Linked DNA regions of Lepisosteus oculatus. The protein of the gene in region 3 purifies or fractionates together with the protein of the main gene of each other region. This does not show direct contact. Links are inferred from orthologs where the notes say so. Each region holds a gene or a part of one and is shown on either strand. Other genes may lie near its edges. The genes, in order: mrto4, cdk4 and cebpa.

The links.
Region 1: the proteins of cebpa (region 3) and mrto4 purify together in Homo sapiens (affinity purification with mass spectrometry; 3 studies listed by BioGRID and IntAct, with this or other methods). This does not show direct contact. The link is inferred for Lepisosteus oculatus from reciprocal best matches to the Homo sapiens genes CEBPA and MRTO4.
Region 2: the proteins of cebpa (region 3) and cdk4 purify together in Homo sapiens (affinity purification with western blotting; 3 studies listed by BioGRID, with this or other methods). This does not show direct contact. The link is inferred for Lepisosteus oculatus from reciprocal best matches to the Homo sapiens genes CEBPA and CDK4.

The regions. Positions count from the first base shown.
Region 1 is NC_090720.1:5,918,432-5,928,884, reverse strand, and holds the start of mrto4 (mRNA turnover protein 4 homolog), read right to left. Parts: upstream 4,100-10,453; 5' UTR 4,022-4,099; coding exon 3,994-4,021; intron 3,900-3,993; exon of another isoform or gene 3,803-3,899; intron 3,502-3,802; coding exon 3,443-3,501; intron 3,157-3,442; coding exon 3,053-3,156; intron 2,914-3,052; coding exon 2,832-2,913; intron 2,340-2,831; coding exon 2,272-2,339; intron 1,575-2,271; coding exon 1,423-1,574; intron 1,096-1,422; coding exon 1,019-1,095; intron 394-1,018; exon of another isoform or gene 113-393; coding exon 1-112. Other genes in the region: emc1 (ER membrane protein complex subunit 1), read left to right, coding at 4,301-4,392, 4,878-5,005, 5,380-5,445, 5,818-5,911, 6,236-6,364, 6,651-6,777, 7,893-8,048, 8,272-8,439 and 2 more. UniProt on the Homo sapiens protein: Component of the ribosome assembly machinery. Nuclear paralog of the ribosomal protein P0, it binds pre-60S subunits at an early stage of assembly in the nucleolus, and is replaced by P0 in cytoplasmic pre-60S subunits and mature 80S ribosomes.
Region 2 is NC_090696.1:14,868,689-14,878,834, reverse strand, and holds the start of cdk4 (cyclin-dependent kinase 4), read right to left. Parts: upstream 4,442-10,146; 5' UTR 4,172-4,441; intron 3,950-4,171; exon of another isoform or gene 3,946-3,949; 5' UTR 3,814-3,945; exon of another isoform or gene 3,743-3,813; intron 1,197-3,742; 5' UTR 1,190-1,196; coding exon 972-1,189; intron 859-971; coding exon 723-858; intron 615-722; coding exon 447-614; intron 340-446; coding exon 230-339; intron 1-229.
Region 3 is NC_090715.1:15,643,256-15,653,462, reverse strand, and holds cebpa (CCAAT/enhancer-binding protein alpha), read right to left. Parts: upstream 5,104-10,207; 5' UTR 4,820-5,103; coding exon 3,914-4,819; 3' UTR 2,680-3,913; downstream 1-2,679. UniProt on the Homo sapiens protein: Transcription factor that coordinates proliferation arrest and the differentiation of myeloid progenitors, adipocytes, hepatocytes, and cells of the lung and the placenta.

The DNA.
Region 1 (10,453 bases), on a different chromosome or scaffold from region 3:
ACCCATCCGCTTCCTCCTCTTCTTCACCCTGGTGTTCAAAGTCTCCAGTTTCTGAGTTCCACATGCACTTGATCGTCACCCTGAACTCAGCCAGCTTGATCCCGAGCAGTTTCTGAAAAAAGGGGGAGGCTCTGTAAGGGGTACACTTACACTACACTAGGCTTCTGCTCTTCCGGATTCACAAAGATGTGTAGGGTAGCAGCAGTCTGCTCCAGTGCCATTCACGCATGAAACTGACCAACCCCATTGTCGTAACCAAAAACACCCAACACGCTAGAGACCAACTTTTTAAAACTTCACTAATATGCGCATACTTGACTTGTAAAAGGGTTCAGTTTGAAAATCTAAAGCTGAAATGAAAGGAGAGAATAAAACAGTGCATCATCTCAAAAACTAGGACTGGTTTCAGTTTATTTCTACTAAACAGCTGCTTTAACAGACCACTGCCTCTGCTCTGGCCCAGAGAAATACACACAAAACCTGTGCTAGATGTCAGGCTTCAGTAGATCTTTCGATCATTCAATCATTCCGGTGACGTGAGCGAGTTTAACCTATGGGCTAAATTCTTGTGCCATTTGTGGGCCTGTGTAGCACTTTGAATGCATATCATAAGAGTGGTCCATTACTCCTTCCCACCTGTGTTGTTTTTGCTCCTCTATGTCGTTCTAAACAAGCTGAACACTTTTGTTCACTATTTCTTGCAAATGATGCACACTGTGGCAGTGGCAAAGCAGTTAGCAGTCACCTTCTTGTGGGTTTCTTCCCACCTTCTTAAAGACTAGGTTAATTGGCATTTTGAAATTGCTATTGTGCAGATGAGCACCTCACCATGGTCCCTTCTTGCACCCTGTGCTTTTGGGATAGACTTTGAGTTGCCCTGACTTTTACTATAATGAGATCGATTAGAACTGGTGCATTTCCATTGCAATGGATTTTCTTCAATCATAAGCCTCAGCTGTGAAGGAATACAAAGATGAAGATAAGACACGAGAGCACGCTTGACACTGCATGAACTCACCAGAACAGTAGCCTGTTCAGGAGTCAGGGTATCTCCTTCTTTACACACATCATAGTCTTTCAGAAGAGTCACTACTCCTGCAGAGAAGATACACGGGACAATTAACACGCACACAAAGTGAACACATAGGCATGAGTAGTGAATGCACAGTTTTGAAGATTAAAAAATGATATAAACTGATGCCCTTGAGATCACTTAGTTCTTCGTTAAAACTGCAGCTTGACCCCACAGCCTTCTCAGATGTACAGAGTATAAGAGATAATACAATGACATATGTTTCAGAATAATAACTAGAAAAAAGTTCCTGACAGAGTGGACATAACATTAAAGAACTCAGGTTAGGGGAAAATAAAGCTTTTGCATGAAAAAAGCAGGAGCAGGCTGTTTAGTCCGACATTTCTTACCTTTCTTCAAAGCCGTGGGTAGACCCAGCTGTCTCAACTGTGGCTCCATGGAGTGAGAGAACTGATCCAAAGGTCCTTCATCTAGCGTGACTGCCATAGTTGCTTTGTTCCCTGCCCGTGCAAAATCTATTTCCTTAAAATGGCTAAAATACCTGTCACAGATAAGAAAGAAGTCCTAATTTATTTAAAGAAATGAGCCAGCATGTGGCTCCTCTAATGCGTTTGCTCTTTAACTTCATTATCTGACGAAGCATACTGCGACAGGAAGATTTGATTGCAGCCAGACAGGAAGAGAAGGCATTATCTGTACATATTTACTTTGCTGTTAAATGTTTTTCAGAAGTGAAGACACTAGGGCTTCCGAGAAGCTCAACCAGTAGAGATACCCGCCCCAGACACACATTGAACTACATCGGCACATTGCTAGTCTGATTCTGGTTCATGTCACTAGCTGACTGTAACCAGGAGTCTTTAGATGGTGCCACACAAGCATCTGAGCACCCCCAGACTAGGGATGAGATTAGTCAGCCTGGGCTCCATGCCCTTTCTGGGAAAACATCAATGCCTGTGACCCACCTAGCACCCTCAGGTGTGCAGTGAAGGTGCTGAAAGACACTGCTGCTCCATTTTATAAAGGGACTGTGGATAATAATAATGTAATTTGTAATAAATCAAATGTGAATGGCTCTAACAGGTGGGCATGTAGGAAGATATGCCCACTTGTCAGTTTTGTCCTGAGTGGTACAGGAGCCACTATTAAATAATTTGGAATCCTACATTTGGTGAATAATGTAAAAATAATTGGCTGCTGCAATATTTAATTCCCCCTGACACACAAAAAATACTCACTCTTGCACTTCTTCCTTGGTTTTATTGGTGAACAGCAGGCCTACCTCGCCCCTCAAAAACTTGCTGACCTACAGGATATAAAGATCACTGAGACACTGAAGACTGAGATCTGCGACTGAAAGAGCCAGTAATAATTCAGAAACAATTCAGGCATCATTTCCCATTTCTCTACACTTGGCACTAATTTGGTGAGTGTAAATAAAAGAGTCTCTTAAACAACAGTCAAGTAATGAAAGCATTACATTTGCAGATCCATCACATTCACAGCATTCTACTGCCAAGCGGGTTCGTAGTGTGAACACTGGACTTTTAAATACAGATTTCTACAGAAAATCTACAGAATTTTGAGATTTCAGGTCCGAAGTCCTCCTTTTTAACATCATCTATCCTCAGAATGAAATCTACCCCTTTATGTTTTTCTTACTTCACAATATTCTGGAATTAAGCTGCCTTTCTAGTGTTATTCAATGTATGAATTATAGGCTTTATTGCAGACTAATCTTTGTCTCCTACAAATGAAAATGAACAGAACAAGGCACTGACTGCCTGGTATGATGTACCTTGTGTAAATTATCCTTGTATTCATCTGCAGGCCCCTTTCCCAAAGCAATCATCATTACTTTGTTCTTGCCAAAGAAGAACCTGAAGAAGAAAAAAGGGAGAGAAAGATTTAAACCAAAAATATGGCAATGTAAGTGAGGAACAAGGGAACTAGAAATGCCAAGGCAAATGGGGTTCAAGGTTATGAGGGTGCTTTTATCAAGAAGACATTTTGTCCCACCTGCTGTGCTTCCACGCTGTCCTTATGTCTTTGAGTTTGCTGTTCCTCATATTGGCGACAGAGAAGATGAAGAGGTGGCTGTACATGTCCACACATTTCCGCAGCTAAGAGAACAGACATTAATTACAGCCGCAAACTATCCATCAGAAATCTTATGGTTGATAAGGTTCAGAGCCTATTGCATGGTGTGCGGGCAGAGATATCTATTAACCTAGCCAGCATGTCTTTCGGAAGGCAGGAATGAACAGGATCACCCAGCGTAAAGGCATGAGAGGAAGCTCCAGACAGAAAGGGATTCACAATCTGTGAGCCAGCAGTACCAACAGCCATGTCACAATAACGCCAGTTAGCCATAATGTATTGAAAAGGGAACAGGAAAACGGAAATTACCTCTTCTATTAAGTTCTGCTTGGATTCCAGTCCCTTCTTTGTAGTTTTTGTTAAAGAGACTGTAAAGACACATACCATGGTAAGGACTCCTTCTAAACGACATCTGTTTTACATTAATACTTTTTGATATGATTTTTATGTTATTAAAAGCACAATCTGAAAATTACTGTATCCTGCATTTAAAAGAAGATAAGTCTGTAGATCTTCGTCAAAATATAAACCGCAACATCATAAACTCCAGTCAGAATGAGTACAGTTCTTGATGAAAATTTGGCAAAATACAAATTTTTGGAGGTTCACAGGCATTATCAATTAATTAGTGCATTTCAAATATTTCTTGTGTCTGAACTGATTACTAACCTCGGAAAAATAAAATATTTCTCAAGTTCTAACTGGAAACATAAACTACTTCACACTGAAATGATCTCTTCTAGTTAAGCAATACACTCATTTTATCACCACGTTGATTTTTCTTCCCCAGATAACATGTCCTCAGATCATGTCTTCGCATTAAAAAAAAAATAAGGATAAAACTAAACATTTAAACTCACTTTTCTTGTCTCTCTTTGATTTCGGCATGATTCTCACGTTGCACCAACCACGCTACTCAAAGACCCCACACGCTCGCGATGCTTCCTCAAAGGCTGTCCACACACTGCCTGAAAATATACAGTCAACAAAATTAAATACACATATAATTATGTTCATGCGATAAATAAATTAAATACATGTTCTGGAATTTTTATTTTATTTTTCAAATTCGTATTCTATCTGGCAATTTGGAGGGAGTACATTTTTATCTTTCTCAACTTCATCTCCCGGTGGATTGTGGGCTAGTGGAGGTCTTTCTATTTCACTATGGCAGGTTTTTTGGCCGGTTTCGCTTTTTTCTCCTTCTTATTATATCACTCTGCTGCTGTTTTTGAAGATCAGGTCGGGAAGTTTGACTGGTGAGTTACGGTTTCAGTTAAACGCGATCGTTTTGGACGGAAGATGCGTTTTTTGTACCTGGAGCAGCACTGCTCGTTAATGAAAGAGGGCTGTGACAGATTCCCGAGTGTATTGGACATATTAGCATTTGAACAAATGTAACGCTTCCTAGTCTGTGTAAGCGTGTAACTTCGTGTGGGGTTTTAGTGTGTGAAACCGTGATAATTTAGTTTTTGTACGGAACAGTACCCTTAGTTTTTGCAGTTTTGGTTTAACTAGATGAAAATGTGTTGTAGGTCGAACGATGAGTTTTTTATCAGTTCAAAATCCAGCGGCTGGTTCTTTAACTCTTGAGTATTTGAAAGATGGAAAATCTGTCCACCTTCGTTCCAAGAAGGAGGCGAGGCCGAGTATTTTGTGCATTGAATGTATGTATTTGTACTGTACATAACCTTTTTAATGAAATAGCCCTTCAGTGACGGCACCCGTGTGTTCTCTGTCACAGGAGACAGCAGTATGTAGGCAGAGTACGCTTCGCCTATTTCGACACCCAAACGCAGGCATCCAAAAAGCTCCTGCTGGCCACCGAGCAGAATATTATCGCTTCCCTCAATTCCAGGAATGGAGAAATCTGTAAGTAGAAGCAGATTTGCAGAATATGTGTCTTTGACTGAACTTGCTGTCTACATCCTCTGGAAAATGTACCAAATCTCCACTAGTCTCCTGGACTGTTCGTCTAAAAGTGAAAAATACATATAATCAGCAAAACGTGTTTTAAAGGGGGGCATAGTGCTGGTCCTGAGTGTTTCAGTAAAGTCTTTCTCTGATTACCTTGCACCTTGTTATAATTTGAACTGGTACCAGATCTGACACATCCTAGGCAGACTTCTGTTAATTGCTGACAGATGACATTCTCAGTAAAAACATGTTCAATATCTGACGAGTCTCGAGGGGGTTGTTGTCAGTTCTCTCGTGGTCTGTGATGTTGTTCTCCTCCGTGTGTGTAGTCTGGAGGCACGTGGACAAGAGTGGGCCAGAGGGAGGCATTGAAACGATGCTGTTCCATGGTCAAGGTGAGTCCAGCTCTTTCCTGGAGTGCAATGGAGCAAAATAACTAGTAGCATCAGTCTGGTTTCTGTGCTTGTGTTTTATAAACACTGCTGTTTTTACTTTATTAATTGAAAGTCTTAAGTATAAAGTAACAAAAACTAATCCTCGTTTTCCATAATAGAGATCAGTGGCTTATGAGAGTTACTGCACTGCCATATTAATTTGCAATGTGATGTTACAGTAAGAAAATTACATTAAGAGTAGCAGTTTTGCTGCATAATATACACGATGCCAAATACCAGGTGTTGCCCTAGAATCATGAGGTGAAGGGAGGTTAGTCAGATGGGATCATGATTGCTGTTTTGGCTTACTGTTCTGTTTGCGTTTATCCCCAGATGCAGTGGTGGTGTCTGGAAATGGGCGATTGGTGCGCTCTTGGGAAACCAACGTTGGTGGTTTAAACTGGGAGACCCTGTTGGACACTGGAAGGTAAATGAACCAATGACTGTAGCTGTCTCACCCCAGATGGTGTTAATTCGTTTTTACCCAGCTGTTAAAAAATAGTGCTTTTGAAAACTTTTAAATTTTAAAAGTACTAATTCTACACTTGTGTAAACAAAATGAAAATTGCACTTATGTGTTTCCCGGAACGTATTCAGCGTACTGCTTTACATGAAGATGTATAAGTATGGTACTTTAAATGTTAATGCCTTCTTTATACTCAAGAGTACTGCACTTTTTAAGCTTTTTGCTAGTTAATTGTCAGTGAAGTGTTTGAAGTGACTGACAAAACCTGCTTTTTCTTTGGCACAGTTTTCAGGCGGCCACTTTTGTAGGGCTGCAGGACTCGGTGAAGTATGTGGCTGTGCTGAAGACAGGTGCCATCTCCCTGCACTACCTCTCCAACGGCCATCAGAGATGGGTAGAGAACCTGCCAGATAGGTAGGCCAAAAGAATGATGCTTGTTTCCCTCCTTTCCAAACCCAATCCCAGTGTTTTAGTGGCTCCTATGGAATCATGAGCAGCAGTACAGCCTGTCAGTGGAATTTTGAAACCATGATAGCTCCACCTTATAATATGGTGAATTACTTAAGTTAAAATACATTTGGCTCAATGAAACCCAGTAATTCTCAACAGTTATTGGAGTCTATTGAAGTGTAAAGCCTTTACAAGAGCACTGTGTGTCTGAAAAAGGAGATCAAAGTGTGGGATCTTGTGTTTCCTGCAGTGAGACCGTGCAGTACCAGACAGTGTACTCGGGGGGTAGTGGAGAGGTCTATGTGCTGGGAGTAGTGCCTCACTCCCATCTTGTCATCATTGCCTACAACATTGAGGATGGAGAGATAATGAAACAGGTAAGCATGCATTCATTGGCAATAAATGTCGACGTATCACTTAAGCAAAGAAGCTTCTTAGGATATTATCTGTTTTTTTAAACTTGAGGAAGCCTGAAATTGAATTACTTCAACAGTAAATTGTGTTGAACTCTACACTTATTTTACTGGCCATCGTAAGCCAAACACATTTGAAGAACCATTTAAAGAACATTTAGTCTCTGTTCTGTGTATTGAATGCTTCTTTAGCCCCTAAAAACTATAAAAGTATATTGCAACAGTACAGTTATGTCTTTTTAGTAATATTTTTCAGAGTGCCATTATCATGCCATAGTTTAGAGCTTATTTTTACTGTTATGACTTTTAACATTGTATGTGATAATATTGAGAATATTGTTCTCCTGGAAGATAGGACAATGAAAGCTGTTTGTCTTGATAATAGAGTTGACAAATCCAAGTGGGTTCTAGCTGTGCTGGTTGCAAGAACTGATCTTTCTTATACTGTTAAGTAAGAAACAGTTTTCATGTGTCATTTTGTCACAAAGAAGTGATATCTCTGTGAATATATTTTTCCAAAAATATTTGTTTGCTTTGCTAGAAATAAATGCCTCAGCTGTGTTTATTTAGTTTACTGGATTTGAAGTTCAGTCTTTAAAGTTAACTGCAGCTGTTAACATGATAAACTCTCTGCAAGAATTATTTGAAATACAGCACAAAGATTCAGGTATTTCTGGCATGTCACAACCTAAAGCCAGGTAGAGCTTTTAGACACAGGTCTGACTGCATCATCTTTAAATTTTAAGATTCTGATTTGTAGTTATGCAGCCAATCAACAAGGCGTTTATGGACAGTGTCTTACTAAGTAGTGTTTAATATGTGAGAAATACTGTATGCAGTAGCAGAGTACATACTAAAAGGAGCACATTTTACAAGGTTTTAACACCATTATATTTAGTTTGACAATGCTGGTGCCTTATATACATGTGTACATGGCAAGCCACGTGTGTTACCAATGGGATTCACCATATTAACCATATTAAACCATACCATATAAACCATTAACCATATTAAACCATATTCACCATATTAAAATGATCAAGTAATAGGTTTAAATGATGCTGTACTGTCCTCTGCAGAGATCTGTGGAAGCTCCGTGGCTGGCCAGTCTGCAGCCAGGCTGTGCAGTGGTCAGCACTGGGGTCCTGGTGTGTGTTGACCCCACCACCCAGTCCCTCTACACCCTGCCCCTGGACACTGACCACCAGCAGGATATGAAGCAGCTCCTGCTGCAGGTAAGCTGGCTGCTCAGCACAGTACTTATTAAATGAAAGAGTAAATTTTCATAACTTTTTTTAATTACTTTCATTGTTTTGGTTGTCTAAAGAGTGTTTTTCATATATATATGCTTTAGATGGAAATGGTGTAGTATGGAGGAAATAAACCATTCCCATCGGCAGGTGCTGTTGGGAGCCCTTGTTAACGTTGTGCTCCTCCTCCCTCTCGATCTCTCACCAGTCTCTGGATCTCGAGGTGTCCCCTGGATTCCAGCCGGTCATTGTGTCCACCCAGCCCAACCCGGCCCGGCCCCCGCTCCCCGAGTTCTTCCTGCAGCTCGGCCCCGATCACCACACCCTGCTGCAGCTCGGCGACGGCCTGGTTATCTCCCTCCGGGCCTTCCAGCCGGTAAGCAGGAGCTGCCTCCAGCGCTTTTCATTCTAGAGCATCGATTAGCAAAATCTAGTAGACAAAGTCTGATCCAATCACACTAATTGAACATAAAAACCTCTGCACATCCTCAATTTCATCTACCTCTCTGCGCGAGGCTGGATGTTTACACTTCCGATGATCAGAAATAAACACCGCAACAGGCTTGATGTTGAAAGTAGCTTGCATTGTGCTCTTTTTTCCACAAAACTGAGTATGTCAAAGCTTGTGGCAAATATGCAGCATCAGAGCTCACATTGATAATGTTTAAGGCAAATTCTTAAATCAACTGAATTTAGATCATGCTACCTTAAATCTGTTTCACTATCTAAAAATAATTTTGGTTGTATAAGATTGGTCACAAATAGTTATTGAAATAAAATCATTTTTTTAAATATTCAAATACATTTATTAGGTCATACACCAAAGAGGGGCCTGTTGCGTTGTGTTAACGGAAAGGGGGACATTGTTTCAAAGGCTCAGAACCACTGAAGTAAGCGGATGATGTTGGGAAATGTTTCAGGCTTTCCTGGTGTCTTTCGCTACGACTGGGGAGAAGACTGTGGCTGCTGTCATGACGCCTAAGAACAACACCGTGAGTGAATCAGATTAACTGGGGAGCAAAGCAGCAGTTGTAGTTTCCCCCAATACATATACAGTAATTTGTGATTGAAGAATGTTTTGGAGGAGGTCTGTATCTGGCTGCTAGGATTATGAATTACCCTGCCATGTGTGCCAGCTGTGGTGAAAAATATGCACTGATCTACCTTGCAAATTAAATTTTGAACTGCTGTATCTTTCCCAGTAAGCCATTTAAGAGAAATAACAGTGCTAAGCTCAGATAGCTATAATGCCATGCCATGATATTCATCGTTGATCACCACAGTTCATCTGGTTGAAATTTCAGGCTTGTAACCCTCCGTCCTTTCCTCCCCTCAAGGCCTGCAGCATCAATCTGTACTCTGCAACATCTGGGAGGAGACTCCTGGACACCTCCATCACCTACCACACGGACCCCAGTGGTGGGCGGCCAGAGAGAGTGAGTAGGACAGTCACCTCACTCCGCACAAGCCCCTACCCCAGCTGGGCTGTGCAGCCCAGTGCAGTGTACATAGGGGTTTTGGTTTAGAAAGACAAAATAACTCTTAAGTTACAAGGCGGGAATACATGTGCAATACTTTTGCTGTCATTTCAATGCCTTCTCTTCCAATTTCCAGTAGCTGTCAGTCAGTTAGTAGTTTTTTTTCCTTCATCAAGCCCGGAATTAATCAGTGTGCATAAGTGCACCCCATAGTGTAGTTCTTAAAATCTCAAAACATCCAGAATCTCAAAAGTACTCATTGATCCTTGAGTATGTTTAAGATAAGACTATGAGATTTTATCTGTCACTTGAGTTTGGTCCATAGTATAAACTCAGTGCCAAAGTGAGGCACAGTGTAATCCCATGGTTCGTATGCTATCAGGATCCTTCTCTAGTTTGAAGTGGGGCATAGCTGTAGAAACAAACATGGTAAAAGTCAAATATAAATTGAAAACAACGCAAAAAAAATCTGTTTAGGTGATTATCTTGAGGATATAGACAACTTTTAGTCTAGAGTGTCAATAAAGGGAAAAAATATATAGTAACATTTTGGTTTTCTTTAAAAAATAACTACTTGATGTTATAGTCCGGGAGCTGAAACTTCATTTGATTTAGAAGCAAACATAAATATGAAAGAAGCACCAACATTGATCCTCAGTTCTCTGGGTTGTCCAGTCACCCAGGCATGTTTTTAAACATCCTAATTTCTGTTTTTACCAACGATAATCCTTTATTTGCAGTTGGAGTTCCCTGCTTTGGTGTTACCAGGTGTATGGTTTGGAATAATGTTATAATCATAGTTCCACATTATATTGTCATTATCAGGTGTGCTCCTATGGTAAATTAAAGTTCTGACTGACACTGGAGGAGTGTGAAAGCCCTGTCCTGGTCCTCCTCCATGCCCAGACCATA
Region 2 (10,146 bases), on a different chromosome or scaffold from region 3:
CGTATTTCACTCACAACAAGACAGGCTGGATGGGTCAGAATTCCCACGACCCCAATCTTACCCCCGCTAATCAAATTAAGCACATTTATTAGCCCCCCCCCCCCCCCACTGATTCACCCCTGACAAACACCAGCAAGGCTTCCGCTGTGGACAGTGGAAACCTCCACCTGCTCGAACCCAGGTCCCGGCGGACATCCCACCCTGACTTGAACCCAGGGCCAAGACCCACCTGCGGCGGAACATCTCGGCGAAGATGCAGCCGGTGCTCCAGATGTCAACCGGCGTGGCGTAGGACGACTGGAGCAGAACCTCCGGGGAGCGGTACCACAGAGTCACCACCTGGGGGAGCCAGAGAGGCGTGTCAAACACACGCAGCTGCACCAGCTCGCGAGGTTAAAGGAACAACATGCGACCCGCCCAGCAGGGGGCGCACTGCCGGCTCTTACCACGGGCGTGAGCGCCATGTGGCAGCTGTAGATGCGCGCCAGGCCAAAGTCCGCCAGCTTGACCTGGCCGCGGCTCGTCACCAGGATGTTCTCGGGCTTGAGGTCGCGGTGCAGCACGCGGTTCGAGTGGAGGAAGGCCAGGCCGCACAGCAGCTGCTGCATCAGGTCCTGCGAGCGGGGGGAGAGAGACGCTGTGGGGGTGTTCGCCAGCTCGCGGACCCCGCGGCAGGATCGCCAAGAGGGGCGGGGCCTGCAGGCCAGGCGGGCTGCCCTTACCCGAATCCTGTCGGGCGGAAGGCCGGGGGGCGGCGCCTTGTCCAGGTAGGTCTTGAGATCCTGGTCCACGTGCTCGAACACCAGGGTGACCTTCGTCTCCTGGTCCGTCCGCAGAGTGGCGCACACGTCCATCAGCCTGCAGCGCAGACACACGCACACACAGACTGTTAGACCGGGCCGGACCGGGACACGGCATGGGGGTTCGTGCGCGCACGTGCGTGCCGGCGGCGGCGGCGGCCGAGGTCTCACTTCACCACGTTGGGGTGGTCGAACTGCTCCAGCCTCTTCAGCAGGGCCACCTCCCGCACCGTGGACAGCGGCAGCCCGTCCTGGTCCGTCTGCACCCGGACGCTCTTCAGGGCCACGAACTGCCCGCTCTGCCGGTCCCGCGCCTTGTACACCGTCCCGTACGCGCCTCCCCCGATCTCCGCCACCGGCTCGTACTGGACCACGCTCTCCTGCGCCATTCCCAGCCTGGCAGACAGAGGGCGACGATGAGAGACAGGCTGGGGCTCCAATCCCCTCCCTCTTTCCCCCAGACTTCTGGGAAATGTAGTTCCAAAAGCCATCACTTCCATTAAAGGAGGTGATTTTAAAACTGGTCGGTCTATTAGCAAGACCTCATTTAGAATATCGTGTGCAACTCCTCAAATTCAAAATTCAACCTCAACATGAATTCTTAAATTTTCTATAAGAATAATCTTCACATCTTTGGAGACAATGTAGACAAGCGCTTTGTGTCACAAACAGGTAGCAAACTAAAAAACTCCAGCTCCAGTGTTTATGGTGACACATTTAGATCTTTTAGACCCTGCGGGGAAGCAATTCTAAAAACAATGTTAGGACTAGAAGTTAAGCACAGAAATTAAATCAAAGGATGTTAAAATAACAAAATGCGTTAGTAAGGCCTCATTTTAGAATACTATTCAATTTTCATCACCACACTCTAGAATCAGCGCAGAGGAGAACGACAGGGACTGTCCTACGCTGACCGGCTGCAGGAACTGAACCTCTTTAGTCTTGGGCCAAGGAAACGATGAGGGAACCCGATACAAGTTTTCAACACCCACAAAGCCATTAGCAATGTCCACCCGCAGATTTAATCCAAAATGAACACAGGTAACACGAGCTCCTGGACAAGCGGACACTACAGGGGCGTGGATTCGATACTGAAAACAGGAGGCTACTATACCCCAAGGGTTGTGGGAGAGTGGAACGAGCCGTGGCCAGAGGAGGCCCTCGGATCAGGTAGCTCCCAGCTGCCACAGGGGCTGTACGGCCTCCTCTTGCTGGACAGGGCTCCTGTGACCTCACAGCCTCCACAACGCAACAGCACCGCTGCTGCTGCTCTGGAATCAGCCCCGACACAACCCCGGGCCGAACCTTCCCCGTCTGCAGCTCAGACGCAAATGCACACCGAGCTACAGCCCCGCGGCACACAGGCGACAGAGCGCCGCTCTCCCGCTGTCCCCCTCCCTGACCACAGGGCCGGGCAGCTGGAATTCCCTGGCCTGTGGAATCTGACCTACAGCTCCAGCCAGCCAAGAACTGGGTCACCAGCGCATTCCTGAGGGGAGCGAGAGAGCCACAGTCGCGCAGGGGAGAGGGAGGGACAAGCTGACAGGGGTCGCCTCCCCCCCACCCCACCGAGCCCGGACCGCCCTGTAACTACAGCCCCGCCGGCCACTGGCCACCCAGGCCAGGTGACCACTCCCGGGCGGGGCAGGAGACGGCCCACCCCATCTCCGAGCAAACCTAGCCGGGAGGGAGCCCAGCAATCAGGCCAGCGAGCCTAAAGCTCTGCACCGCCACTGACTCATGACAAAACCAACCAGGGGTGTACTGTGTGAAGTCAGTGATATCCCGCAGATAAAAACAGGGAAACCCAAATAGAAGTCCATTCAATGTCTGTACCCACTGTTTACACCCACCCTCTTCTTTATAGCGCCACCTACTGGAGGGGTCAGACACCGCGCTTTTGTCACCAGGCGACCCGCGAGACCCGAGTTCCTCAGCACAAACCCGGCTTCTTCCAGGAGGTCACAAGGTCACCTGGTGCACTGGTAAGACACGGCTCGGTGTGGATTCCGCCTGGCTACGCCAACTTGAGAAACCCGGTGAGTCTGAACTGGAACTGCTGCTGATAATACTGTTGACGCCTTCATTCATGACCATCAGCACGATAGAAAGTGTCATAGAATAAAAAACACAAAGGTGTTTGTGTGCTGGGGAGAGAAACATGTTCTGTATCGACACCCGTGTGTGTCCCAAATGGACTTCTGCATTTCCGAATAATTAAATGATCGGTCACTACATATACATTACTCTAAGGCGGTCAGATACAGGCAGCCTGTACTGAAATACTTTCGAGTGGGGAGTTGAGTCACAGTAGGTTGGCTTCAAAGGACCAAGCAAACATTTTCCCACGGAATTACCCTCTGCCTGTTTCTGTTTTGAATTAGATGTACAGACAGCAGAGCTCGCTGCTCAGACCCCGCAGAAACACCCGGGCCGCGGTGGTGACGACTGGGTTTCTAGAGACCAGTACAGGCGGTGTCACTGCGGATGTCCGGCAAGAGCAGCGCTCGGAAACGACCAGCCCCTCTTCGGGCCGGCCTCGGAGAGGGGACGGAAGCGGGTGGGGGAGATCGAGGCAGCCGGAACCGAGGTCCCTGTGGAGTTCGGACCCGGCTCCATTTCGAACGGACCCTTCCCAGGAAGCGAACCGAGGAATCCAGTCCGGTAGCTCGAATGCGCGTCCCCGAAATTGGGACCGCCCAACATAGCCGGACTCACAACTAAGTTTTGAAAAGCGTGGCTGTGTTATTATTTCGAGTCCGACATTTTCTGGGCTGGGGTGCCACGGAGCCCGGTCAGTACGCGGGACCGAAGGCCGGTTCCCCCGGGCCTCCCTCCCCCGGGGCAGCCGCGAGCGCGGGGGCTTTCTCCAGCACGTGGTGACCGGGACGCAACTTCTCCTTTGTTAACCAGTCGGCCGGGGTGGATTCAAGCCCCGGTACCTGCGGTTCGGGGTCTCGCCTCAACAGTCCAGCCACCCGAACCGGGTCGCGCTGCCGGGCTGCGTGTTCACCTTCCGGTCTAACAAACTGCCCCCTCCCGCAGTTCGGCCGCAGACACGAACTCGAGCCCGGTTCCCCTCTCCTCCGTCCTGCGGGCTGTCGCCGCGGGGTCGCCGTTTGTCCCACGGCAGCTTGAATCTCGGCTGCCTCGTCATTTTTAAAAATAAAAAAAAGACGCGATTAACATTTGACTTTCCCAGATGCGAGTCGTTCCGAAGTGCTCGGCCGAACGTGGTTCGTTAACGCTCGTAAACCGCAGCGTGTTCAGTTCGACAGTTCTCAGACGGCATTCTTGCATTTTCATTTACCATCTGTACACACCTCGGCGGCTTGAAAAGGTAAAATAGGTTCGCTGAGTTGTCTACTTACCACGTTGCTTTCCGACTGTTTTAATGCACAATTAAACTCATTTTTAATCAGTTATCCTTCTGGCCTTTGAATAGCTCGATTCCATCCGGAGGTGCTCGAAGAGAGCCCGCCTACAAATGTTTTTCCCCCCTTTTTGTTGCTAAAAGGGTTTGTTTATATGTCTAAAAAATGTAGAAAACTTTGGCCTGACTTTTTCCTCCCCAAACACTCCGAAGGCTCATTCATGGCCATCAATCCAGCCCCGACCAGCTTCCTGTCCGGGGGACACGCCCCCTCGCCCACACAGCCAATCCCCTTCGCGCATTCAGTAGCACTGACTCCCTTGGTGGCTCCGCCCCCCTCGGAATTATTAATTCATAAAAAATTCACATCAGACAGTGAAGTGCCAAAAGCTTTTAATTGCGATTATGGGGTGCGGTTATGCGTTTAAGGGTAATATTGTTTACATATATAAATCTTCAACAGGACCTAATTCCGCAGCTTTACCATGATACCCGATTTTCTAACTGTGCACTGTGAAGAGGTTTTACAGCACAGACCAGGAAGAAGTCGGGTTTGAAGCGAGAAGTCTCTGTAATGCACGTAAGAGCCCACGTCTTTTTGGCGGCAAAACTTTTGTTGCAAACCATATTTGTATGAACACAAGCGTATTTTTAGAAAGATGAAGAAAGTTTCTTTCTCCCAAATATTACAAAGCAGTTCGTTTTTTAATTAATGACATTGACTACACCCCAAAAACTTCACATTTTGTACCGAATACATCAGTTCAGGAGTGCAAAAGCGTAGCCATGGGTACAAACTGCAATCTTGCAACAACGTATTTGAGCAGATTAATGTATATGCCTCGGCTCAAATCTAGACACACTGGGTTGTTGTTATAGTAAAGACGTGAAATTCTTCTGTAAATATTTAAGGATTTTTAAAAATCCCAGTTTTCCCCTCCTACTCTTACACTAACACAACACAGTGTTTGTCAGGCCCGGCTCCCCTTCCGCCCCACAGTCGGCACGCTGTGCGTACCGAGCACGTAACCACGCCCCTTCCTCACCACGCACTGGCTCCTTGTTGCGCCGTGATTGGCCGAGAGGCTTTGTTGCTAGGCTCACCCGCTGCTCTGCCGCGCGCGCTTCCCTCTGCATTCCAGAGAAAGCAGGAGGAGCTCGTGGACGGAAACATGCGCCGCAGTAACACAATGGCTGTAACACACTGCGCCACAACACACAATCACACATTGAAGCACTGTGTACCACTACATCACAATAAGACATTTAAACGGTCTATATTGGTCACACTGTAACACACAGTACACACTGCACACACTACTTCAGTGCATTGTAACTGTAACACACAGTACAAACTGCACACACTACTTCAGTGCATTGTAACTGTAACACACGGTACACACTGCACCACAGTCACACTGCAACACAATGCACACTGCACCACAGTCACACTGTAACACACAGTACACACTGCACACAATACTGCAGTGCACTGTAGCTGTAACACACAATAATACCCTGCACCAAAATCACACTGTAACACACATACCACTGCACACAATACTGCAGTGCACTGTAACTGTAACACACAATAACACCCTGCATCACAGTAACAATCACACTTCAAACAAGAGTCCTTCCAGAGTGTATCCATAAATCCGGCAAATTATCCACCTTTATAGCTGCTTGGAACAATCAGAAGGACAGGACATCCTGTAGGCTGTCCCTTTCCTGCCTTCCTGACGGGGGACCGGAGGATGTCAGAGGTGCCTGCGAACCAGGACAGTCCCAGAACTGTGCAACACTGCCCTGTCACTCCAGCCCTCCCTCCTCACAGACGCCTGAGAACGTAAAGGACTGTGGTGCGCCCTCAGGCATTATGAAATCAAGTGTTTCAACTCCAGTCCATCTAAGCTGCAGTGGGCTCTAGCTACAGCCAGTCATTTTAAAGAGCCCAGTGCTGTCGTCTGAGATCAAGCCCGGGCTGTTTCATTACCGGCTGTTGAGTCAGTCCTAGAGTACCTTTGCAATCACTACATCTCATCCAGGTCCCACTGGTTGCAGCTTTGATCTAAGTGTATTTCCTTAGGTGACCCAAATGACAAAATACAGCCAGTTGCTTATTACCAGATACTGCAGAGCTGGGGTTCCTGTGGGACAGCGGTGCTTGTTGACTTCAATTCTGGTCCAGATAAATCACGCCCAGGACAGATAGATGCACATCCCAGTCCAGTGTAGTCTGGCTCTGTACTTTTTTTTATGGCAGGGAAAATCATGTGTGTGTTTTTCATATAATTTGACCTGTGCTGTGGATATTCACTCAGAATGTTACATGCATGAAGTATCCAGCTTACACTAATGCACTAGTATTAGCTTAGCTGCAGAAGAATACAGAGCTGATGGCAAACCATGGAGTGAATCAGACTGCAGTGCTATTGGAGACTTAATGTCCTTCACGAGAGTTTACTATAGACCTGGAAGTATGTTTGTGTTCTTTTGCATGGAGAGGTGGACCACATGGCCCCTTTGAACTCAGTTTCCTGGCCAAATTTCCCCCTGATCTTTCCCAGTAATGGCCTCCTAAATACCCCCATGAATTGAATTGGCTTCATCACTCTGTTCTCCACTGATAGCTGGTGTTTGGTGAGGTGGTGAAATCCTGGTGCACTCTGGCTGCCGTCGCACCACCCAGGTGGGAGCTGCACACTGGTGGTAGGGGTAGGTAGTCCCCATTATTATTATTATTATTATTATTATTATTATTACACTGAGACTGAAGGCAGCTACTGGGAGGGCTATCACTGGGCTGGGCTCTCATCATGCAGTGACATTCTATTTATAATGTGAAAGTGAGTGTGGCTGCACTGAGAGTGCCCAGTGTGTGAACAGGGAACAGGGGAGGTCTGTGGGAGTGTGTGATTAGGCCTCTGCGTAGTGGTATCAAAGGCTGTTATTTCTGATAGAGGCCGGGGGGTGTTTTCTCGATGAATGGCCGGTGCGTCTGTGTAATCGTCCACACATGGTGAGGCTCCGAGAGACGGAGGCACAGTGACCACAGCTCAGTGGAATGTGCTTCAGATGGCAGCCACATGTCTTCTGACGAAGATGCTCACAGTCACACGTGCCTCTGCAGACACTGTGCTGCTTTACTCTTCGAGTCAGTCCACACTCTGAGGGGAATGTTTCAGATGCCCCAGCCTTCAAACACACCATATATGTACATAATATTACCAGCAGCCATATCACCCTGCAGCTCACACCTGGCAGCCCACTGGAGCTCAGCAGGTGTGAGCCTGGCCAGTACCTGGATGGGAGACCTACTGGGAAAAACTAAGGCTGCTGCCGGAAGAGGTGTTAGTGGGGCCAGCAGGAAGAGGTGTTAGTGGGGCCAGCACAGGGCGCTCACCTTGTGGTCCATGTGGGTCCTAATGCTCCAGTATAGTAACGGGGACACTATACTGTAAACAGGTACCGTCCTTCGGATGAGACGTAAAACCGAGGTCCTGACTCTCTGTGGACATTAAAAATCCCAGGGTGTATCTTGAAAAGAGTAGGGGTGTAACCCCGGCGTCCTGGCCAAATTTCCCATTGGCCCTTACCAATCATGGCCTCCTAATAATCCCCTTCATCACAGCTTCATCACTCTGCTCTCCTCCCCACTGAGAGCTGATGTGTGGGGAGTGTTCTGTCGCACTATGGCTGCTGTCGCATCATCCAGGTGGGGCTGCACACTGGTGGTGGGGGAGGAGAGTCCCTGTTACCTGTAAAGCGCTTTGAGTGGAGTGTCCAGAAAAGCGCTATATAAGTGTAAGCTATTATTATTATTAATATACAGTATATGTTCCCTGCTGTCCTGTCATGTTTAGATCAGGACCATGCCAGTTCATTATCAATGCCTGCCAACCTGGCACTTGACTCTCACATTAGGTCCAGCACAGCACACAAGGCCAAGTAATGCCAAACAGTTGTTTGAGTCGGCTCCCTTTTGTGCTTGATGGTTGTACCCTTTTTTCTGTTGATGCTATTCTTGGGCTTGAAATAATCAAGCAGCTTTCCAGTTATGGCTATAATGCAGTTTGAAAGCACAGTGCCTTCATCTGCTGCCATCACTTAGAAGCAGAAGAGTGAGTGGACAGGTGGACGAGAGAGTGGACAGGTCAATGAGTGAGTGGACAGGTGGACGAGAGAGTGGACAGGTCAATGGGTGAGTGGACAGGTGGGTGAATGAGTTGACGGATGAATGAGTGAGTGGACAGATGAACGAGTGAGTGGACAGGTGGATGAGTGAGTGGACGGATGAATGAGTGAGTGGACTGATGAATGAGTGAGTGGACAGGTGGATGAGTGAGTGGACGGATGAATGAGTGAGTGGACAAGTAGATGAGTGAGTGAAGGGCCTAGAATAGGACATGTTCAGCCCAGAAGACAGAAGAACACAGATCTCCTTCTTTAGCTTAAGTAAATGTTTCACTAGGATATCTGAATGCTCACTTTCTGAGATGAGAGAGTGTATCTGGAATGAAGGGAGTTCAGTTCAAAAACCACAATAGTTAATTACCTTGTGTTTAATATATTGACAGTGTAGAATAACTCCACGATTTGTATTGTTTAATCCTTTATATAACCAGATGTGCCAATTGGTCAAGACTTTACCTCCGGCGTACTGCTGAACTAAATCTTGGAAAACAGAAGTGTGAATCTAAAAAAACTGGTGCTACAGCACAGAACGGAGCTTTGCTCAGTTACGTGAATTTGTTTTTGAACAAGACCTCAGTAATCTTTATTTTCTTTACATTTACTTATGTATGTGCTATTACATGTATATACACACATAAATATACATTAAGCTACTGAAGGTTGACCGAATTTGCTGTGTTGGGTAATACAATTCAGTTTTCTCGGGCACACAGGCGCGCAAGTCCGCCACCTGGTGGCGCTCGCTGAGAGCCGCAGTCCGGCTGCCCGCGTGAGAGCGCCGCCCGTCTCCCGCCGCGGGCCTGCTTCTCGTCCTCCTGGCGCCCTGGCGTCCCGTCGCTCAGTTTCACGCTCTCGCCCCGTGAACGCCGAATGTAAATCCGCCGAACCCAACAACCTAACAGTTTTCTTTTTCTTGCTACAGCACAGGCTAGACGGAGTAAACAAGGAAGTGTAAACAGCAGGGGGCAGCAGAGAGGTCTCTCCTTGGCGTTAATAGCGCCGCGTGGATCAGCGTTTCACAAAGGCCACATCCCTGAATTCTGTGCTGTTCCAGAGCCGGAGCCCCCCAACCCACCATGCTCCTCTTCCCTCCCAGCCCCACCTCCCAAGCCCGTGTGAACATGGGGGAACATGCAGACTCCACACAGACAGGCCGTGGCACCATGCAGGCCCCTGCTCTGTTTCTGTGATTGTCTCTTCGCCAGCGGCACGTCTGTGGGTGATGTCCGGAGGGGTGCGGAGCCCCTTGACAGAGGTGCCGTCTCACCATCCTGAACTGACTGTTTCCAAAACTCAACAAGACCCTGAGAGCCCATGTGACACAGGTGATGCAGGTGACACACATTTGATGTAGGAGACAGAGATGATGCAGGTAGCACACAGGTGAGAGAGGTGGCAGGTGATGCAGGTGACACGCAGGTGATGCAGGTGACAGGTGATGCAGGTTACACGCAGGTGACAGAGGTGATGCAGATGACAAAGGTGATGCAGGTGACAGGTGATGCAGGTGACACGCAGGTGATGCAGGTGACAGGTGATGCAGGTGAAACGCAGGTGACAGAGGTGATGCAGATGACAAAGGTGATGCAGGTGACACAGGTCAAAATCAAGAGACAGCGCAGTTCTGGAGCACAACTGGAAGCACTTCTTTACACAAAGAGTTGTAGGTGTTTGGAGCACAAATCAGCTACACTTTGGAAATGGATCATTTGATTGATTCGCATGTTGTGGCTGTCTCTAGACTGACACGCCTGTGGGCTGCGATGCACTGGGCTG
Region 3 (10,207 bases):
TCCAGGTAGTGTGGTTTCCTCTTACCTCCCAAAAACATGCTACTGTATGTTACATTTCTGTGTGCTTTTGATATGTCCCTGTGCGCTGTGATGCCTTATGCTTCCTAGGACAGGGTACAGGTTACAGTGAAGCAGCATTAGGCAGGGAAAAAGCAAGCTGTTGCCTTGCAAGTCTGGGTGGAGAAGATTCTTCCAGGGATTTAGCTTCAACCAGAAAAGATCAGGCAAAAGCAACCTTTTTAAAAGAATTAAAATATCAGTTAACAAAAGTGTAATAAAACTATACCCTAGTCTACCGCACAGTCTGAAAGGCTGTAACTTTGTATGCAACACCAGGTGTTTGAATCTTAAACATTTGAAAAATAATGCCAACCAAACTGAAATGGCCAGCTGGGAATCAATAGCCCACTGAGCTGCATGACGTGAACTACAATGAGCTGTTCCATACTCATGTCGGGTGCCTCAATTAGAAGCAACTGCAGTCTCTAGAGGTTCTCAGCAGGGCATTAAAGTTGCCAAAACACTTCAATAAAACATTAATTAACAAATTAGATCAGACATTTATGGTTGCTGTTTAAATTCAGATTTGTTTTTTCACCCAATTTGCTACTGGACTCCTTGACCCAGAAATGCAGACCCATGTGTATGTTCTAGCCAGTCTGTTGTTTATACTGGTATTCTGAAAGCAGTGGGCTCCCATCAAGCTCAGGGCACAGAGCTCACATCTCACTGCTCTCCCTGACTTCCTTTCAGGTAGTTTCTATTAGCAAGTGTCCTTCAATCAGCTGCCCTCTGCTCCAATCAATGCTTAAAATTAATTAATATTTAAAAAGCTCTGCTGCTAAAGGTCACTTTGTTGTTGGAATTAAAACTTGCAAATGAATTCAAGTGCCAAATTTGGTTAACCTTGCCTATAATACAGAAAATATTGTCTGCTGTCACTAACTGTTCTCTTTCAGTTCAGACAGATGTTTTTACAGATGTTTCCAATTTTATATCCGGTATAAGGCAATGGAACTTGTATTCCAATCAATCCAGCTGTACATTTTCAACTACTTTAACGAGCATTTTTCTAAAATTGAAAGCTAATTTTCAAAAGCCGTGTTGGAGAAAAAGCATGCCCATTCATTTGCCCATTCATCTTCAGTAACTGCATAGTCAAGTACAGGCTCACGATGAGTCCAGCAAATAATGGGCAATGCTGGGCACACACAGGGGGCAATTTACAGACTTCAGATAACCCAGACAGCACGGCTTCTGGCTGTGGAAGGAATCTGGAGCACCTGGTGAAAACCCAACATGTGGAAACCAGGCAGGCTCCATGGAGAAGGTACTCCTGGGTGGAATCGAACCCGGGACTCACGAGCTGCGAGACAGCAGTAATACTTACTGTGCCACTCCGTAATGCCCACGTCTAAGTGCATAATCTTCCACATGCAATTATTTCACCCCAGTACTGGCACAAAGCCAGACAACGCACAGCCACTAGATTAATATAATGTACATTAACAAAATGCTCATTTTAAAGGTGGAACTATGGTCCAAAATTTAAATAATGTACTAACTTTGTATTAGGTTTAAACAACTGACATTGCTGAAAGGATTCACTTTCACAGAATCCACTGCACCACAAAATATGGTTCATTAGGTTACGATCTATACTAGGAAACACAAGTTCTGTCTCCCCATCAGTCGGAGAACATGATGTAGCAGCGTATGCTTGTCGTTTAAAATGCGTGCATGTTCATTTGAAGTAAACAGAAAGAAATCACCATAATGTTTAGAATGAACAGAGAATGACACGTTCATATATGCATTGCCAGGTTTGAATGGAAAAGTTGTTTGAATGTTTTACATTCTTCCATGATTTAAAGTACTTTGATGTTTCGTGCAGAAAAAGTATAAATCTTGAGATGTTTCCCCTTGTTAAATTGCAAAGAAAACAGTCATCAGAAAGTTCCTTTTCTGAATATAAAGGTTTTGTTGCAGATATTTTAAGAGAACATATAAAGCAATAATTTACTATTAACGACTGCTGTAAATATCTGATCTTTCCAAAAACGTATGTCTTTGTCATACCACATTTACACTTTACAGGTGCACAAATATTTAAAATTATACACACTTTTGACAATATGATATGAGTCTGTTTAATGGTTATGCGCACAACGTGTTGCACAAAATAATAAACATTGAAAAATTAATGTCACCCTATCAATAACCCGAATTTAAATTGCTACTATTGGAAAAGCGATGATCGCCAACCTCTACTTACTAGTGTTTATAAAGCGCCATCTACCGACACTTTTTGGAGCACTACCACAACTGTGACAGAGATTTTACAGGAATATTTAATAAGAAGATATACCGAATTAATAAAAACTAATCCCAATAAATTACATAATTGTAAGTATGTTATTCGATTTTATTTTATACATTATATAGCGTAATGGCGAAGCATTTTAAAGAAATAATATTTAGATTTAAAATAATGTACGTGGTAAATTGATAGCTGCGCTTGTCGGACAACTGAAGTGAAATTAATCCAATGTTTTTTTTTTTACCTTCTGCTGAGTTCAATGATAAAATACTATTGACTTACTTCGCGGGTGTAGAAAAGCAGCAAAAATAACAAAAAAATCAATTTGGTCTTAGAATAAAAGAGACGTAACAACAAGATATAACACAAGGCTTTCATTTATTATATTTTTCAATAATTTTTGGCATATATCATGTATATTTTTATTTTACAATTTAAACGTACTTAAAATATTTGTATTACACGGCAAAATGTCATTTGTAAAAAGTGCTTGCTTTACTTTTATTTCCAAAACTTTCGACCAGTGATATCGTGAAGAAAAAGAAAGGTGGAGAAGGCACTTAATCCGGGCTTCTGCTCGAGAGAACGAAACAGTGCGCAGAAACCAACATCATCGAGCGGATTTCTAGAGAACAGTATTTCACTGCAAAATCAGTGAGAAAGCACACCAAAGTGATATTTATATGGAATCATGTAGATGGCAACAGACACTGTGTAAGGCATTCTTTCACATTCTGAATTGTACAGTATAAATGTAAGGCTAAAATCCAAAAGCATACATTGAGAGACGTTTAATAGAACTACACCCGAGTCTATTGCCATTTCGAAAACACAATGTGCTTCATTTACTCGTATTCTGACGACATACAGTATAGTGCATTGACAACCTGCTTATATGAAGCAGAAACAGAAACAAGATTATAGCACTTGCGTTCCAGTCCTTTACTTTGGCGTCTCATAATTCAGTCGTTCTTTCCCCTTCCACCGCGCATGAAAATAAAAAGTTAATTCTTAGACCTTGACTGAAACGTTTAAGGCAAATGTACTCAAAATTTAAATATGCTGTTTTCGGACAGGTGTGAAAAAGCAAAAGATTTTCAACTTTTTGCGCACGTCAAGAAATTCCTTAAAGCTTAAGTACTTAATATTGGTGTTGACAAGCACAAAAACAGCATATTTAGAAATATCGTGCGCATATTATTTTTAAATAGTTTTCTTAAGGCACAGCGCATATGGTATTTTGACAAAAATAGGCATTATGAGGAGATCTGAAGTTTTAAAACATGAACAAAGATTAAAAATTACAATTGTAGCCTACCTTAGCTGCACTGATATGTTTTTGCTTAGCTAACAAACACACTGGCGGGCGCTTTCTTACATTTAAGGCACGAAAACACTTAAAACCTCCACTGATAACACTTAAAAGTGTGGGAAAAAATGAGCTTATCGTTTTGTACAAAAGGCACATACATGTATACCTCAGCTGCCTGGCTCCTTAAAAAAATAAAGGTTCGAGAATCTGTCACATCTGTGGCTATAAGACCCAGCAGAAATCATACCAGTGAAGAGTCCTGCAAAGTTCCGAGTTCCTTTTTACGCACAGTTGCCCATAGCCTTGACCAAGGAGCCATCGGGGAGTTGCCTGAAGATGCCCCTTAATGTCTCCAACTCTCTGGTGAGGTGCTCCACCCTCTTTCGCAGTCTTTCGTTGTCGGTTGACAACTCGATCACCTTCTGCTGGGTTTCTACATTGCGCATCTTCGCCTTGTCCCTGCTTTTCCTGACCGCTATGTTATTGCGCTCTCTCCGAAGGCGGTACTCCGTGCTGTTCTTGTCGACGTGCTTCTTGGCTTTGCTCCGGTCTCCGCCGCCCATCATCTTCATGGAGCCCCCCGGGAGGCTGTTCTGCTGGTGGTGCGGGCTGGGTACCGGGGTCGGGGGGGGCGTCGGGTGGCCGGGCTGCAGGTGCATGGTGGTCTGGGCGCAGTGCGCGATCTGGTACTGGAGATGCGAGAGGTGCTGGGGGTGGGAGTGGGGGTGGTGCTGGGGGTGATGGTAGGTCGGCGGCATGGCAGACTGGCTAGTGTCTTCGTCCTCCCTGGGCTCTTGCTTGATCGCCACAGGTCGGATTCTCGTGGCGGAAGGGTGGTCGTAGATGGGGTCCAGCTTTGCCGTGTCCATGTAGTTCGACATGCAGCCGTAGACCTGCGGGTGGGTCACGGGGCCGCCGTGGCCGCCGCTGGCGTAGCCGAACTCGCCGCTAGCCAGCTTGGCTTTGTCTTGCTTCGCACTGTTGTGGAATAAATCAGCCAGAAACTCGTCGTTAAAGGCCGCGGGGTCGATGTAGGCACTGATGTCTATGGAGTTCTCGTTCTCGCAGATCTCGCTGATGTCTCCGGCCGCTGGAGGCTCTTTGTAGCAGAAGGCACTTTGCTGGTTCGGGGGAATGCTGCTCATCAGGGGCCGAGGGTCGACCTCGTAGAAATTGGGCTGCTCCATGGAGTATCTAAAACCAGCCAGGCATGGTGAAGAGCTCCGAGAATCCAGCTTGCTCGCAGTGCCGCAGAAAGCCGCGATGGCTCGGGGAATTCAAGCAAGCTCAGGTTGCGGCCAGGTACTGTAGGTGAGTGGCTGGGTGAGAAGCAGTTCAGGTCTGGTCTGCCGCTATAGATCGGGCGGGCTTCGACAGTGCAAACTGAAACAGGAATGCTTTCCAAAAGGCAGTTCCTTAGTCTCACTTGGTTTGTAAGCCCCAGTAGCTCACAACTGATTTACTCTCCCGACTCAGTGATATATATACCGTGCTGTAGAGGAGGCCGCCTGCTCTTCAGGGTCCTAGTGCGCCTGGAACAGAATTCCCTCCCGACTGAACTTTACCCGAGGGTACTTTAAAAGAGCGGGGGCAGTTCCCCTAGAACCGTCTAAAATAAGTGCATGTAAAATAAATTAACTTTAAACATTCAAAGGGATTTTATTTTTAGGAACATACCTTGGCTGATGGAATTCTAAAATACATTGCAATGAATACGGATACCCCCCCCCAAATTGAATATTCATTCGATATCATGTTCATTCAGGATTAAACATTCTGTCGAAAAAGTGCATGATGTATTGCCTGGATGTATTTAGATGTAATCGATATCCCATAAAAATATGGGTTTGACGCTGCGAAATCGTTATGATATCTGCGAGCCTTATGTATGTATTATAGCTATGAATGTAAGTTAGCTTCGAAAAATCATATCGATAAGTGTATGATATACACACATATATGTGGGCAAATTTGCCTAACAGTTTAAGTACATACGAGTACGAGTCTCTTATATTCTGTATGCGGTATAATACCGTCGGTTTCACTTTATACTACATAATGTAATAAAACTGAATAGCAATATTGGTTAAGTGGTCCCTTCGTAAGATTTGGCAACAATTAGATTAGCAATATAAAAGTCCGCCTATATAAGTGAAAGAGTCGTTGGAAAATGCTATATTAATATCGCTAAACATGAGTGTTCTTTATAGCAGGAGTCGAGGTAGAACAGGAATAAACAGTAATTGCTGTTGGGTATGCGAATTTTGCAATAGGTGTGTTATTTTTATATACGCTACTGTATAAATTGTATGTACCCAACTCAGGTTAAATTACAATGCAAAACTGTGCATTGCAGGGTATACTATACTACCAGCAACTCATTTTCTTCAGGGATCCAAGCACCGAGTGAGGGCTAAAACTACAGTAAAAGTCATAATGAAAACCGTGCACCTTGAAGAAGGGGCTGGTGCCTAGGTGAACATTTTAATTGATGTGACAGAGTGACACTGCAGCTCTTTTACAAACGCTCTCAAAGAAGAAAGTATTAATGAATAGCCCTTCTCTGCTTTGTTTGCAATAGCGGCTCCGAATCACAATTCCGATTTAAAAAAATTCAGGTGACAGCGGGCTGGGAAAAGGGGACACGAGGACAATTTCGTTTACTTCTTTTTTTCTTTCTACTGTTTGATGTTCCTGTTGCTGCGGTCCGTCCCCCCGCCAGCCAGCCAGCCAGCGCAAACCTGCCGTGTCTGGGTATCTTCCCATACCGCGATCAGCCCGGACAGACCTCCTCGACACGCCGACGTGACTTGTCGAAACGCACAGAGTGTTCCAGCGGCGCTCCTCCCCTTGAATGTGAACTACAGCTGATTAAATACCGCTACAATGATTTCAATATCTGCGGCGTGTCATTGGGGAGGGAGGACTTTAAAATATGCACTATTGCATTAGACCGTTTTCCAGACAATACTTCAAGTCGAGAGTCGATCTTCATTGATTGTCTATTAGTAGTTACTCTACAGTATAACGAGATTTTCCCCTATAAGTATGACTTCACTGCACAGTACCACACGAAGGGCTACCTCGGAGTGTCGGTTTGTAACTGTATTTTACCACACGGCAGATGGAATTCCCTGTACCCGTTATGTCTGATGAAGGGATTTTGTTTCTAAATCAAGAGCCCCGGTGGGGAGTTTTTTTTTTCTACACTTTGTTTTGCGGATTTGCATATTTGTCCCTTAGGGAAAAAAGAATCTGTAGATGACCTATAGGTTTCTAGGCAACTGTAAGAGTTGGGAACCTAAAGACAAACGCCTAGGTGAGTTTCCCATGGGCTGCTACTACAAGAGAGGTCCCAGGAGCCCATGGTTAGCCCAGTATGCGGCAGCTAGGGTGCAGGGAACATCAACCTGTACTTAACCAGAGAAGCAATAAGCTGTGTTGGGAATTTTAAACTCCCCCCCGACAGTCAGCCAGTCTTTTCACATCCTGTTATCTGAGTGTAGGTACATATCCCTTAGTCACAACGCTGTCACCGAACTCCACTTCTACACCAAGCTTGGACGAATTACTGAAACGCTTTCACCGAATCATTCTCGGTCACAGTAACAAGTTAGTTCTTGTGCTGAAACTGTACCAGCATTGCTTGATTTATTCCGCGTAAACTGCATTGTGCGAACAAACTGATTTATTCTGAAAGCTGATCGTTTTCTTGAAAATTTAACGTCTCCGTACAAAAGCATATGTGTGCGTAGCGAAGTGTGGTAGTGTATCTTCGACATTACATTCAAGTAAAAATGAAATGATGATGCATCCTTCTTCTTCTTATTATTATTAATACACACATTAACCAGCATCAAGAAAACAAGGTTAAAGGTTTCTTCTAGTTACTTGTTAGAATCGCGGAGTAGTGAAATTGCTTAATAAATGCAATTGATTCACGTTAGGGTGGCTGTACTATATTTTGCCAACATTGCAACATTTTGGCATTTGGCACTTAAATATATTTTGTCTGCCTGCAAATCGCTTTTTCGAGACAATTGTTGGAATTGTCTGTTAAGAAGTCAAAGGACACATTTTCGACTTAAAAGCTTAAAAATACAATCCTCATAATTTCACATTTTAAGGAAATAATGAAGGCAGATGAACAAAAGTCCGATATTTCCCAGATATTTTCTAGCTGTATATGTACACCGTGGTGTAATGTAGAAACTTGCATACTATTACATGTAAGTAATAATATACTAATAATGAAGAGAAAATAATGAAAACACTATGGAGGTAATTTCCGTTATTAAATTAAAACAATACAATTGAACAGATGTTGATAGTTCTTTGTTTTCAAGCACTGCGGTAATGTTTTAGTAAGGAAAAGGCAACAATGAATAATATAAAAAACACTATATTTCAAGAAAACTTGAGGCTTTTATGATATCACCTTTATTATTCGAGTGAGATGATTGTACATGATGCTATCATAGTAATCTCAATGTGCTGTGTGAAATCGACTACAACGGCTGCGATTCAGCCGGTGACCTGAAGCTCGCTCTCCGAGACTTGGCACAAGTCAGACTCCTAGCTAGCGACGGCCTGAATCGTGACTCTGCCTTTCCTGAGCGGGGAGCTCCCTCTGTTGTTTCGCGGAGAACTTGTTACTGCTGGAGGAAGTCTGTAGCCTCAAGCACTGAGAGCGAATACACTCGGGTTACCCCGCTTTACGCTTTTTCTGAAGTCCTGATTAACCAACCATTGAATTTCAACGGTGACCGCAAACGGTGCCCTGCGTGCGCTCATCGGAAAGCAACCGAGACTATAAAATAACAAAGGTGCCTCCGATCTGGCGTGTTGCTGTATCACAGAGCATTCCTTTTATCAGGCTGGATTCTGAATTGCTCAACTGAAACAGACGATATCCGTTAAGTATTCAAAAGCAACCGTAAGAGCAATGAAACACAGACTCGCTCAAAGTCAACAGAGGGCAAGATGTCAAAAAGATTGTCTGTTGATTATCGACCCGACTCTAAGGAGGTTAGTGAGATTCTGACTTTTTTTTTAGGTTTTCACTTTCTAGTACCCTTTGCACAGCTGTTTGAAAACATGTTTCGAAAAACGTGTTCTGAACATCCAAGTGTCGACAACAGAAAATTCTATAAAAGGTACGAGCGCTCTGTGCGAGGGCTGTGCACAGTGTCCCTGTGGACTCAGTGTTTCAGGTGGAGGTCCCCAAACACAGTAGAGATTTAAGCATGGCGGTGTTCATAACGACGATAAAAAACATCTCATTAGTAACATTTTTACTGTGGGCAATGTTCTGCGTCGCCGTTCAGGAAAAAAAGCAGGTGCTGAAAACGATGGGTGATTGTTAGAAGAAAATGCAAGAAACCAAGAGCACGTACCAGTAAATATACATCTCGGTATTACTTTCAGTTATCAGTTATTATTGCTTATTGCTTATTAAGTTTTATTTTCAGGACCAGTGCTCTGTCTCTCCTATCTTTGGCCTAATAATGTTAATACTCACCTTATGGTGTAAGAAATACCATAAGGTTCATCTCCTGTTTCCTGGTTCATCTAATGATCCATCTCAAATTAATTTTCACCCAAAGAATATATATGATAGACAGAAGAGACCTCTAAATGGCCTTTGTTCTCCCTGTTAGAAAACACAATGGGGTGATACTCCCTGGCATCCAGAGAGCATTGTTTTTCAGATATTACCAACAGTTTCTTTATATTTGGTTTAGATCATGTAACCCTTTTGTGTTTAGGTTTAGATCCAGATATCTAGTAAGTCCTTTTTCAGAAAGTTACAGAACTCAGAGTTGGAAAGAGTTTGGGGGTACCAGGGGGGTTACAAATCCACAAATACTACATTTCCACACGCTGACATTGATCGATTAATTTGTGAAATGCTAAATATGTTGGTGTGTATCATTTGTGCTTTTACAACTTAACCCCTTCCTCCACTCTTTGAAGAACAGCTTGTTATGTGACACATCATGCCTGCAGGTCATCATTTATGACGCCCAAAGAAGACTCCACACCCAAAACATTGTGTTTTCTTTCTTCTCTTTTCAGCATGGAGTAAACCCTGACTTGTTCCTTTGCAATCATCATTTATGTCAGGGGAGTGAAGTAAAGCACCAATACCTGCCTAATTGTGTTTCACTGCGGCTCTGCTAATTCGTACATATTTGTCAACTACAGCATTAAACTAATGTACACTAAGGGGTGTTTTTATTACTCTTCTTAATCATTTTGGACTAAACAATCTTGTTTCTTTTGTTATTGAACACTTTCCTTGTGAAAACTGTAAGGTATGGAAAAAGTCAAAGGGAAGTAAATTATTAATAGTAACTAAGTTTCTGTTAAACTGTAAATGTATCTTCACTATCTCCCCAAGGGCGAAGCAATTGATTAATAAAAAAGCTCATGAAATCTTCATAGGTTTGTTTCTTTTTAAAAAAAATAAAGGGAGAAGTCACATTAGAAATGCAGTGGACTTACCTTAATTGGAAATTTCTTTTGACAGAACGACCTTTTCCCCATTTCTGATCTGTCCACATCCCACCCTA